2 linked regions of the Sus scrofa genome follow. The protein of the gene in region 1 binds, or shares a complex with, the protein of each later gene. Links are inferred from orthologs where the notes say so. Each region holds a gene or a part of one and is shown in the gene's direction. Other genes may lie near its edges.

Evidence for each region.
Region 2: the proteins of RNH1 (region 1) and RNASE1 are in contact, whole or in part, in a crystal structure (PDB 3TSR), measured with the Mus musculus proteins. The link is inferred for Sus scrofa from reciprocal best matches to the Homo sapiens genes RNH1 and RNASE1. Residues at the interface, in NP_001165571.1 of Mus musculus: Cys7, Asp32, Thr60, Asn89, Asp117, Glu145, Tyr146, Asn174, Glu202, Trp257, Trp259, Glu283, Ser285, Trp314, Lys316, Glu340, Glu397, Ser401, Asn402, Gln426, Val428, Tyr430, Asp431, Ile432, Tyr433, Trp434, Thr435, Asn436, Glu437, Arg443; in NP_035401.2 of Mus musculus: Arg26, Glu27, Lys32, Gln36, Pro48, Thr49, Gln53, Lys56, Arg57, Met60, Asn62, Gly63, Ser64, Cys65, Lys66, Pro67, Val68, Asn92, Lys94, Asn96, Leu111, Lys112, Gly113, Asn114, Ser115, Lys116, Asp121, Ala134, Glu136, Val143.

Annotation. Positions count from the first base shown.
Region 1 is NC_010444.4:281,982-288,666, reverse strand, and holds the start of RNH1 (ribonuclease inhibitor), read left to right. Parts: upstream 1-2,264; 5' UTR 2,265-2,278; coding exon 2,279-2,516; intron 2,517-2,825; coding exon 2,826-2,931; intron 2,932-4,122; coding exon 4,123-4,293; intron 4,294-4,518; coding exon 4,519-4,689; intron 4,690-5,017; coding exon 5,018-5,188; intron 5,189-5,265; coding exon 5,266-5,436; intron 5,437-5,563; coding exon 5,564-5,734; intron 5,735-5,897; coding exon 5,898-6,068; intron 6,069-6,264; coding exon 6,265-6,435; intron 6,436-6,526; coding exon 6,527-6,614; 3' UTR 6,615-6,685. UniProt on the Homo sapiens protein: Ribonuclease inhibitor which inhibits RNASE1, RNASE2 and angiogenin (ANG). May play a role in redox homeostasis. Required to inhibit the cytotoxic tRNA ribonuclease activity of ANG in the cytoplasm in absence of stress.
Region 2 is NC_010449.5:78,211,193-78,215,950, forward strand, and holds RNASE1 (ribonuclease pancreatic precursor), read left to right. Parts: upstream 1-2,779; 5' UTR 2,780-2,811; coding exon 2,812-3,267; 3' UTR 3,268-3,382; downstream 3,383-4,758. UniProt on the Homo sapiens protein: Endonuclease that catalyzes the cleavage of RNA on the 3' side of pyrimidine nucleotides. Acts on single-stranded and double-stranded RNA.

The DNA of each region.
Region 1 (6,685 bases):
CAGATTTACGGAAAACCAGTTTCTGTGGGAAGATGTAAAGGTCCGGGCTTGCTGGGATCAACCCCTAGCCTGGGAACCTCCATATGCCGCAGGAGCGGCCCAAAGAAATAGCAAAAAGACTAAAATAAAATAAAATATTTGCTTTAAAAAAAATAAAAAATTCCTGTTGGGAAGTTTTTTGTGGGGAGGGGGCATGGGGAGCTTCCAAGGCCAGGGATAGAACCAGCGCCACAGCTGTAACCAGAGCCACAGCAGTGACAGCGCCAGATGCTTAATCCACTGAGCCGGGAGGGAACTCCTCTGATGTTTTAAATTTACCGTAGTGAGTCCCCAAAACCCTAGGCCTCCAGCCTCGACCCCCACGGAGGGGAGAACCCCGGACGCAGGCCTCTCTGCGGGTCGGGCTCCCGCCCTCCCAGGCCCCGCCCCCAGGCCCCGCCCATGAAAGTGGCCCCGCCCTCCCAGGCCATGGCCCCGCCCCCTGCCCTGGTGAAAACGCGCTCGGCCCTGGGTCTGTGGCGAGGGCGGCGGCAGGAGGTAGGAGGCGCGGTGCTCGGCCGCTGCGGGAGAGGGCCGGGAAGCGGGGGCCAGGGGCCCCGCGGCGTTTGGGGTCAGTTAAAACTCCGCTGATGTTCCGGGCCAGCACCCTGACCGCGCGGCGGAGGGTTCCCGGGCCCGAGAAGGGAGCAGGGCCCGGGGCGCCAGGAGCCCTCTCCGCGCGGCGTCCGAGCGGCCCCCGCCGGGCCCCGCGCTGACCCCCGGCCTCCGGACACATGCGGAGTCTCGGGTGGGCGCGGAGGTGGCCCTGGAGCCCGGCGCGCCGCTGCCCCCTGCCTCTCACGGGTAACCGTGCTGCGCCGAGCGGGGGCGGGCCGGCGACGCGGGCGCTGCCCCCGGGAAGGCGGAAAGACGCGGCTCGCACGCCGGCGCCGCTCCGCGCTGAGGCCCATCCCTTCTGGAAGCAATTAATGGGGCCTTGTTGAGACCCTGGCCCGGTGCCTGGGCCTAGGGAGCGGCTCCGCTGGTGGAGCTCCCGGTTCTCAGCGAGGCATTGGGCTAGACACGTGCCTGTTCCTACCCAGACCGGGTCCCCTAACTGGTGGCTTGTGAGGATGGTTGTACACGCAGCACCTTTGGAGGATGTTAACTTTTTCACGGACCCTCAAAGGGATCAGTCACCAGGAGGCTCAGAAGTGTCCTCCTGGCCCCGAGGGTCAAGCAAAGGGGAGCCCCGGGGCCTAGTCGGGTCTGTGGTTCTCTACCCTGGACACTGCGTCCCCTAATGTCACGTGGGATTCAGGGAGAGGGCGCAGCTCCAAGGGAGCTATTGGGGCTGGAGATCCTAAGTGGATCCCCCCCTCAATGGGTCGGAACCAGCGAGTCCCCCTCCTGAGCCTTTCCGGTGGTGACTGAGGATTCTGAGTCAGGGTTTGGGTGACCACGCCCTGGGTCAGGAAGGGCAGGGCCGGGTGGCCTCTGCCAGTGATGGCTGTTGACGGGCCAGCTACCTCCGCCTTGGCCTTGGTTTCTCAGCAGGCCCATCCGTTAGGATGAGCAAGCCGGAGTCTTGCTGTTGGTTGGCAGCAGGGGTCTCCTCCACCCAGCAGGACTGTAACTTCAGCCTTGGCCTGGGGTGGCCCTCCGCCCTGCTGTGGGCTCCCAACCAGACGGGGGTGCGGGGGGTGGGGAAGCCCCCCTTTAGCAAGGCCTGGGCCCGCCAGGCATGGACGCAAACCTGAGTGAGGTATCATTCTCAGGAATCCAGGTTTCAGGGGCTGAGGGGGAACCCCCGGGGGGTCTGAGTCATCCTGTTGGAGCCTGGGGTCGCTGTGCCCAGGCAGAGCCTTTACTTCCTACTTGCTTCTGAATGAAGCCCTGCCCCCAGGCACTTTCCCCGCCCCAGCACCAGGCTGCCCGGGGGTTCCTCTCCCGCTGGCCCCCTGCCTGGGGCCCTGGTTCCTCTTTGGTTCAGGCTCCGTGCTGGCCCAGGTGAGGTTTCAGGGCCTGTGATCTCCCGTTCCAGGCCTGCCAGCCAGACGTCTCACTCTTTTCTCAGCCTCCTTGGTGAGCTGGCGCAGAGGACCTGCCCTGTGTGGGCGATCATGGAAGCAGACAGCCCCAGTGGCCACCCAGAGTGCTGGTCACTGGACCCGTGGCCCCACCCACCTGCTCTGTCCCGTCCAGGGCACCTATTGTGGCGCCCCTGGGAACGGTCACCTGACCACAGGCACCTGCCCCTCCCATCCGCTGCTCCAGGGGTGAGGCCTCAGGTGCCGGCATGCTGGGAGGGGGTCTGGCTTTGTGGCCACCTGGCCGGTGCAGTCCTCCGTTCTTAGAGGGGAGGCTGCGCAGGCACCGAGTTTGCTTAGCACTTCCCGGATTGAGGCCCCTGTGCCCACCTGCCTGGGGTCTCCACACTGTCCAGGCCCACAGCCCACCCCCCGCCGCAGCCCAGGCCAGTTGGAAGCAGAGCTTTGGGTGGCGAGTGCTGGTTTCAACTTCCTCCCAGGCAGGAGGTGCCGCATAGGCCGGGTGCGGGGCGCTGGCCGCTGAGAGAGGCCTCCGTCTGTCCCCAAGCCCTGCCGTCCCTGGTGGTCTTTGCTGGGGGGCCCAGTGGGCACAGCGTCCCTCTGCCCACCCCTGTTTTTGCTCCCAGAGGCTGGCGTGGATGAAGGTGCTGCAGAACGGAAACGAAGCAGCAGGGCCGGGCTCTGGCTTCTGAAATGTTGGCCCCTGGATCCTGTTTGGAACCCCCCACCTTGTCTGCGGACCTCTGCCCAGTCCAGCCTGCGCTGGGCTGACACGTTCCCCCCGCCTCTGTCTAGGAAGCACCCCACCTCCCGGCATGAATCTTGACATCCACTGCGAGCAGCTGAGCGACGCCCGGTGGACAGAGCTCCTGCCGCTGCTCCAGCAGTATGAGGTGGTCAGGTAGGAGCCCCCAGGCTGGCGGCCCCGCGGCCAGCACCTCCCGCTAACATCAGTTACAGCGGCGCGATGTCAACTGTGGGGTGTCTCGTGTGGCACGAAATACTACTCTTTTTGTCCTTTTTCCACCCATTTGAATGTGTGTTCCCCCTTGGTCCAGGCCTGGTGAGCAGGGCAGGGGTCTCCAGCTCGTCCCCTGGCTTCTGCTGTTGAGGGTCTCAAACCGAGACTTTCCTCAGGGCTCGGAGGCAAGAGATGAGTGCTTGCCTGCTTGCTTCTCTTTTTAACTTATTTGAAAGTTGTAGGTTGGCCGAAGCATCGTGAAAGCGGTGCAGGGGCCCCTGGGTGCCGTCACCCGGGGCGCCGTTCCAAGCAGAGTCCAAGCTCACGTGCCCAGCTTTTCCAGGTCCTGCAGACCCCTGGTCTCCAGGGTCCCTCCTTGTCCTTGGCCGCCTGCCTCTGGAGTCCGCTCGGGCTCTGGCACCCGAGTCCCTCTGACATGGTTGAGTCACACGTTCATGGCAAAAAGCTAACAGCCACGTGCTGGGCTGCCCGGCATGGTGTCTCGTGGGCTCTGTCATCACAGCGGTGCCACACGCTCACCCCCGTGGTCCCCTGTGACCACCTGGTGAGGCGGTGCCCGCCAGATGTCCACTGTAGTTACTGGGTTCCCTCTGTTAGTGACAAGCGCCGCCTTGCGAACCGCCTTCCAATTCTGCCGACACCGTTTCTGCGCAGACTGTCTCCTGATCTTTGCGTCCATCGGGGGTCTTGCCAGGGCAGCATCACCGGGCCTTTGCTCCGCTGGGCGTTTGAATCTCTTCATTCCGTCCACGTGTGTGGACTGTCGTTCTGTAAGGGCGGGCTTTGCCCCCTCCTGTGTTGACTCGGTTTTCACTTGATGGGGCGGCTGTGGTCCTGGGGCCTGCTCTGGTATGTTCCATGCTGGCCGCGCTGAGCCCTCTAGGTGGGCGCTTCCCTCTGCAGCGCTGGCTCGTCCAGGTGGCTTCTCTCCTGGCGGAGAGAGCAGCCTGCACCTGCCGACCGCCCCGCGGTCAGACGCGTTTGCCTGCCAGGATCCTGGAGCTTTTCTCAGGTGACCCCCGTGCTTTTTCCGTTGGGCTTGAGGTGTGTTGGCGGTGACGCACCTCGGCGGGTCCCAGCCTGCCGTGTGAAACGCCCGTCTGTCCGCAGGCTCGACGACTGCGGCCTCACGGAGGAGCACTGCAAGGACATCGGTTCTGCCCTCCGGGCCAACCCCTCCCTGACCGAGCTCTGCCTCCGCACCAACGAGCTGGGCGATGCCGGCGTGCACCTGGTGCTGCAGGGCCTGCAGAGCCCCACCTGCAAGATCCAGAAGCTCAGGTGAGCCTGCCAGCCCTTCATCCCACCCCGGGCGAGGCTCGGGCCCACGGCAGCCCTCCTGTCCTTCCTGGGCCCTTGGGCGCGTCGCGGCCGTGTCGCAGCCCCTCCTGCAAGGCCCGGCAGCCTGGCCTCCCCACGGGCGGGGGGCTGTGTCCGCCTCACCCGGCTCCTGCTGAGGGCTGGCCCGCCTTGCGTGGGAGCCCCGCTGACAGCCGCACGCTCCAGCCTGCAGAACTGCTCCCTGACCGAGGCGGGCTGCGGGGTCCTGCCCAGCACGCTGCGCTCCCTGCCCACGCTGCGGGAGCTGCATCTCAGCGACAACCCACTGGGGGACGCCGGCCTGCGGCTGCTCTGTGAGGGGCTCCTGGACCCCCAGTGCCACCTGGAGAAGCTGCAGTGAGTGTGCGCCCCCTTCCCCTAGCTAGGCAGCCCCCCGCCCCAGCCCCTGGGTTTTGGTTGAGGGTCTGCCCTGGGCGAGCCCCCTCCCCCCTCACTGGCTGCAGGGAGCTTGGAGGAGGGGGCTCTTGGGGTCCCACAGGCACTGCTGCTCCCTTTGGGTGTGCGGATGGGGTTGGCCGCAGAGGAAGGAAGCCTGGCAGAGGAGCCTCAGGTCTCTCTGCGGTGTCTCTGGGCTCGGCCCCCGCTGTGCCATCCCCGCCCGGCAGCCCGCCGGCCTCGGGGCCTCACGGCCAGGGTGAGGCGCTGACCGCCGGCCCGTCCCCAGGTTGGAGTACTGCCGCCTGACGGCCGCCAGCTGCGAGCCCCTGGCCTCGGTGCTCAGGGCCACGCGGGCCTTGAAGGAGCTCACGGTGAGCAACAACGACATCGGCGAGGCCGGCGCCCGGGTGCTGGGCCAGGGTCTGGCAGACTCTGCCTGCCAGCTGGAGACGCTCAGGTACGCTCGGGGTGGGCGCCGGGGGGCGAGGCGGGGGGCGGGAAGGCCCCCAGCTCCCGGCGCCTCTCGCCCCTCAGGCTGGAGAACTGCGGTCTCACGCCAGCCAACTGCAAAGACCTGTGCGGAATTGTGGCCTCCCAGGCCTCGCTGAGGGAGCTCGACCTGGGCAGCAACGGGCTGGGCGACGCGGGCATAGCCGAGCTGTGCCCCGGGCTCTTGAGCCCCGCCTCCCGCCTCAAGACCCTGTGGTGAGTGGCCTCGGGCTGGGCCCTGGGTCTGTGGCGAGAGCTGCCGAGTGCCCGGGCAACGCCGTGCTCGGGGCGGGGGGGCCGGCATGGCCCAGGGGTCTTGCGGTGACGGCCCCCCCACCCGCAGGCTCTGGGAGTGTGACATCACCGCCAGTGGCTGCAGAGACCTCTGCCGTGTCCTCCAGGCCAAGGAGACCCTGAAGGAGCTCAGTCTGGCGGGCAACAAGCTGGGCGATGAGGGCGCCCGGCTGCTGTGCGAGAGCCTGCTGCAGCCCGGCTGCCAGCTGGAGTCCCTGTGGTGAGCGGGTGCCAGGCAGTGCCAGGGGCAGGAGAGCCCATGTGGGACTAGCGCTGGGGGCTGACGGGGGTGCAGGTGCCCTCCGAGGGCAGGGCAGGAGGGTACGGAGGCCGAGCTGCCCCTTGGGCGGCGATCACCCCCAGCCCCTGCCTGCTGCCCACAGGGTGAAGTCCTGCAGCCTCACGGCGGCCTGCTGCCAGCACGTCAGCTTGATGCTGACCCAGAACAAGCATCTCCTGGAACTTCAGTTGAGCAGCAACAAGCTGGGTGACTCTGGCATCCAGGAGCTGTGCCAGGCCCTGAGCCAGCCGGGCACCACACTGCGGGTGCTCTGGTGAGTGTGCCATGAGAGCGTGTGCACCCGTGACTGCTGGGCAGTGGCTGGGGACAGCAGTGACCCTGGGGACTTGCTGAGTGTGCAGATGGGTTTCAGGCTCCAGGCACAGCACACGTGTTGCCTCCCCCTTGCCGTCTGGCAGCGGCAGAGGCCCTGGTCCCCCAGCCCTGACCCCGCCCCCCTCTCCACTCAGTCTTGGGGACTGTGAGGTGACCAACAGCGGCTGCAGCAGCCTCGCCTCGCTCCTGCTGGCCAACCGCAGCCTGCGAGAGCTGGACCTGAGCAACAACTGTGTGGGCGACCCGGGCGTCCTGCAGCTGCTGGGGAGCCTGGAGCAGCCGGGCTGCGCCCTGGAGCAGCTGGTGTAAGTGACCTGCGGCTGGGGCCGGGCAGGCGGGTGGGCCCGGGGCGGCCACCCCCCTGACCCCCTCCCCTCCCTCCCTCCCCCTGCGCAGCCTGTACGACACCTACTGGACGGAGGAGGTGGAGGACCGCCTGCAGGCCCTGGAGGGGAGCAAGCCCGGCCTGAGGGTCATCTCCTGAGAGGCTCCTTTTCCCTGGACAGCCTTCCTCCCCCACGGGGACCCCAGCTGTACCCGAGAAATGCTCACATC
Region 2 (4,758 bases), on another chromosome or scaffold:
GCTAGGATCTGGCCTTGCTGTGGCTGTGGTGTAGGCTGGCAGCTGTAGCTCCGATTCAGCCCTTAGCCTGGAACCTCCATATGCCAGGGGTGTGGCCCTAAAAAAAAAAAAAAAAAAAAAAGCAAAACAAAAACAAAAAAAAAACTATTTGTTTCCTGTAGAGTCCCTGTCTGCTGCCTCCCCTTCCCCTATTAAGTTGGTGTATACATTTTTATCCCTAGATATTCCGTTCAGGGAGATGCTTTTTTTGTGCTCCTCCATAGGCATATGAATAAACTTTGTCAATTCTTCTGTTAATCTGTCTTTTGTCAGTTAATTCAGTAGGCCTCCAGACTGGAACAGAAATGGGTAGAGGAAAAGTTTTCCTTCTATCATGGATCAAGCTGAGTACTAGCTAAAGACTGAGAGACCGAAAACAAAACAAAAAACCTGGGTGGTGGGTGAAATACAGAAACATGAAACTAAAAGCTAGGCCACACCACACCCTGGGGGGAGGGATCTTAACCCCCCAGCCCAAGTGAACAGTCACAGGAGCTAGCACTTTTTTTTCTTTTAGGACAGTCACAGGAGCTAGCACTTTTTTTTCTTTTAGGACTGCAGACCTATACCACAGCCACAGCAACACCAGATCCATACACCTACAATTTATGATGTAGCTTGTGGCAAGACCCTTAACCCACTGAGAAAGGCCAGGGATTGAACCTGCATCCTCACGAACACTACATGGGGGTCTTAACCCACTGAGCTGCAAGAGGAACTCCAGGAATTATCATTTACTGATGATTTCTAAGTACTGCCCTAAGTCCCTGGCATCTCACCTGACTTTGTCTTAGTAACAAATCTAAGAGGAACATTTTATGATTATACCCATTTTAGAGATGAGGAAACTCGCCCAGCTTTTAAAATGCTAAACCAGAATTTGGACTGAGACAGTGTAAACCTAGAGAATATATTTTGATATATCTCACTCCAAAGGGACTATATATATATGTGTGTATATATATATATATATATATATATGCCTAGGGTGTGTGTGTGTGTGTGTGTGTATCTGAATCACTTTACGGTATACCTGAGGCTAATACAATATTATAAATCAACTATACTTTAAAAAATAAGTAAAAAATAAAATTGTCTTCCAGCAAATATTGGTCTCTTTCTAGGAGGAAATTCTTCCTCTGCCAAGAACTGTGATGTTCTCTATTTCTATTTCTTCTTTAAAGGGGATTTTGCATTTTGGTTTATCTTTCATTCCTCTACTCTGACCTGCAGGATGGGAGATCACTGCAGATAATAAGGGCCACCCACCTTTAACAGCCCAGGAGTGTTGAAGTGGTCAGAACTGGGCTGTATTCAAGTCCTCTCCTCCTTCTTCTCCAGATCTGGGAAGCCATCCATCTGGGGGCAGTTGGACACCTCTCCCCACACTCCCCCCAGAAAGGTACTGGTGGAGATGTGGAATTCCGGCCAAAGCAGCTCCAGGACTTCTGGGGAGAGGACCTACCTCCCTCCGCGCCCCTATGATCGCGTGTTATGTGTCCTTTGCTAATCTCTGAGGGCTCTTTGGTGAATGCAGCTCCCAAAGAGGCTTAGTTGAGGGTTCTAGTATCAGTGCTCTAGTGATTTTCTCGGCTGTTTATGGGAAGGAAGTTTCTTACAGGCAAAGGCTCACTTTCCCCAGCAGCCCGGGAAAGAGGGCAGCCTGGGCGATTCCCCACCCCTTCCTCAAAATGTCCTTGTTTTCCTGTGGGCTGAGAACACGATGCTCCTCCCACCCTTCTCTTTTCAAAAGCCAAGCCCCTTTTTAATCTGTATAAAGTCGACAGTCTTGGGATCTAGTGATTGAAGAAACCGCCTTCTCTCTGAGACCAAGCCAGAGACCCAGGTAAGCAGTCCAAGAGGTGGTCTCAGGAGTTGCTTCTGCTTAAACCTTGGAGAGAAGGCGGTCAGGGTGGGTGAGGCTAGCCTGAGAGTCAGGACTGGGGCCAGAGCTGGGGGCAGGGATGGAGCAGGCAGGCTAGAGGGAGCCCATGCAGCCTGAGACAGAGCAGCTCTCAAGCTGGGGGAGGAAGCATCTCTCTTTAGAACACAATGGCATCCCTTTAAGGTGCTATTATCCCACACTGAGGCCAAGAGGTGTGTTTCTCTCGTGTTGTAGGACAGCAGGGCTCTGTCGAAAACGAAAATGACCCTAGATGTATACTTGGTAGTCATCTCAGGGACACAATTTGGCTTTTTCAAAATTTGGCTTGTTTATTTAATGATTTTATTCAAGAGAATCTCCTAATGAGCCACGTGAGCACTGGGTACAATTGTGTTTTATTTTTCAAATATGTTTTATATCAAAAATCCTTCTGTATTCAAAGACAGGACTGCTAGGATTTTAAGTCATTTCCAGGGTTACCAGCCAGAGGGGAGGATGGCCTCTCTGCAGGGAGTGGCAGTCAAAGGCTTGTGAAGAAGAGTATATGTGAGTGCCCCATTACTTAGCAAAGCTCACAGAAAGTCATCTTCCCGGTTGACCCAAAGGAAAACTATAAGCCAGGGAGGCTACAGGCAAGAGCTAGGGTCCCTTTCCTTTTTTTTTTTTTTTTTTTTTTCTTTTCTTTTCTTTTATAGCCGCTCCTGTGACATAAGGAAGTTTCCCAGGCCAAGGATCTAATCTGAGCCAGAGCTGTGACCTATACCTCAGCTGTGACAGCATAGAATCCTTAACCCGCTTCGCCACAGCAAGAGCTCTCTCTAAGCTAAATGCTTTTCCTCCTCTCTCCCTTTTTCCCAGGTAGGGTCCTTCAGGGCAGTAAGGCCACCATGGCTCAGAAGTCCCTGGTCCTGTTTTTGTGGCTGGCCCTGGTGCTGCTGGTGCTGGGGTGGGTCCAGCCTTCCCTGGGCAAGGAATCACCAGCCAAGAAGTTCCAGCGGCAGCACATGGACCCTGACAGCTCCTCCAGCAACAGCTCCAACTACTGCAACCTAATGATGAGTCGCCGGAACATGACACAAGGACGGTGCAAGCCGGTGAACACCTTTGTGCACGAGTCCCTGGCAGATGTCCAGGCCGTCTGCTCCCAGATCAATGTCAACTGCAAGAATGGGCAGACCAACTGCTACCAGAGCAACTCCACCATGCACATTACAGACTGCCGCCAGACGGGCAGCTCCAAGTACCCCAACTGTGCATACAAGGCCAGCCAGCAGGAGAAACACATCATCGTGGCCTGTGAGGGGAACCCACCCGTGCCAGTCCATTTCGATGCTTCTGTGTAGGTCTCCACCAGAGAGATGCCCCACCTCATCACCAAGGCATCTGCCTCTCCCCTCTGCTTCTTTGCCCTAGGGGGCAATAACTTAAGGTAGCCATGGCTCTTATTCATCCTCCACCTCCCACCCCTCACACATGTGTTTACATGCTTCTTTGGCTTGAGGGCAATAGCTCAGGTCAGGTTTCTTATCACACACACATTTCCCTGGTTGAGGGCAACAACTCAAGTTACTTAGGGCTCTTATCCAACAAGAGCATGCGCCAATGGCTTGAGGCTTGCCCTTACTTGGTTTGGAGGGTGAGGAGTGGGTTGTGAGGTGGGCCCATGTTAACCCCTTCACTGCTTCTTTCAATAAAACATATTTGCAACTATCTGAATTTCTGATGCTGTCTGCGTCCAGGTACTGTGTGGCCTTCTTTCTTTCTTTCTATTTCTACTTGAGGCCTATGGAAGTTCCCAGGCTAGGAGTCGAATCGGAGCTGCCGCTGCCGAGCTGCGCCACAGTCACAGCAACGCCAGATTCCTAACCTCCGGAGCGGGGCCAGGGATCGAACCCGCATAGTCATGGTTCATTACCGCTGTGCCACAACAGGAACTCCCTGGGCTATTTTAGATAAAAAGAAGCAACAGTCTGGGATACCGTCATTCGGGTGAGCTGACAGGGTGAAGCTCAGATACAAAAATCTCTGGCACAGAAGGAAGACAGCGTGACCCTGGGAAGACCTTGATTGGCCTCAGGTGGGGAAGAGGCGTGTATAAAATTATGACTCTAAATTTCCATTTTCCTTTTTTTTTTTTTTTTTGAGGGAGTTTTACTATATCAGGAAAATTATCCCCTCTTAGTTGGAAAGCTGGAATCCTTTTTTCAGGAGCTAGAAGGGACTTTAGATGTTATCAAATGGGGGGTTGATAAGTAGATTTCAGCTTCTGGACCAACTGAATTGGAAGTGCCTGCCTAGAATGCTGCAGAAAAACACCTAAACAGCGATTCAATGGAGGAGTAGCCTCTGCAGGAGGTATGAGGGAGGTGAAGGGTATGTACCATCCACTGGCCATCCTTCACCTAATACAACCCCCACCTTTTACAGAGGGTGACCTGAATCTCAGAAAGGTTAAGTGACCTGCTAGTTAGTAGTATGACTGAGACTAGACCTCAGGTCTCCTGGCTTCCCCATTGTTGCCCCTTCTGCTCCCTGAGTCCCCTTAAGGAGGAAGGTCCCATCTCCCTCCTGCACTGAGTGCTCTGCCCTTAACAGCTTTCTCTGCCTGAGTTTGCCCGTAGCTCTCACAAGTTCCCAGCATGCTGGGACTGTGAGTCTGTCACTTCTAGGCAACCCTTCCTTACATCCATTCTGTCATCAGGTAGGCATTTCCAATGACCTGTTTACACCTGCTTCTGGCTCCAGACAAGGTCATAGAACTAGAGAAAGGTCCTACTGCCAACCAGTTTAACCAGGTCTGTCATCGTTAGTGTGCACTGCATTGATAAATGCTG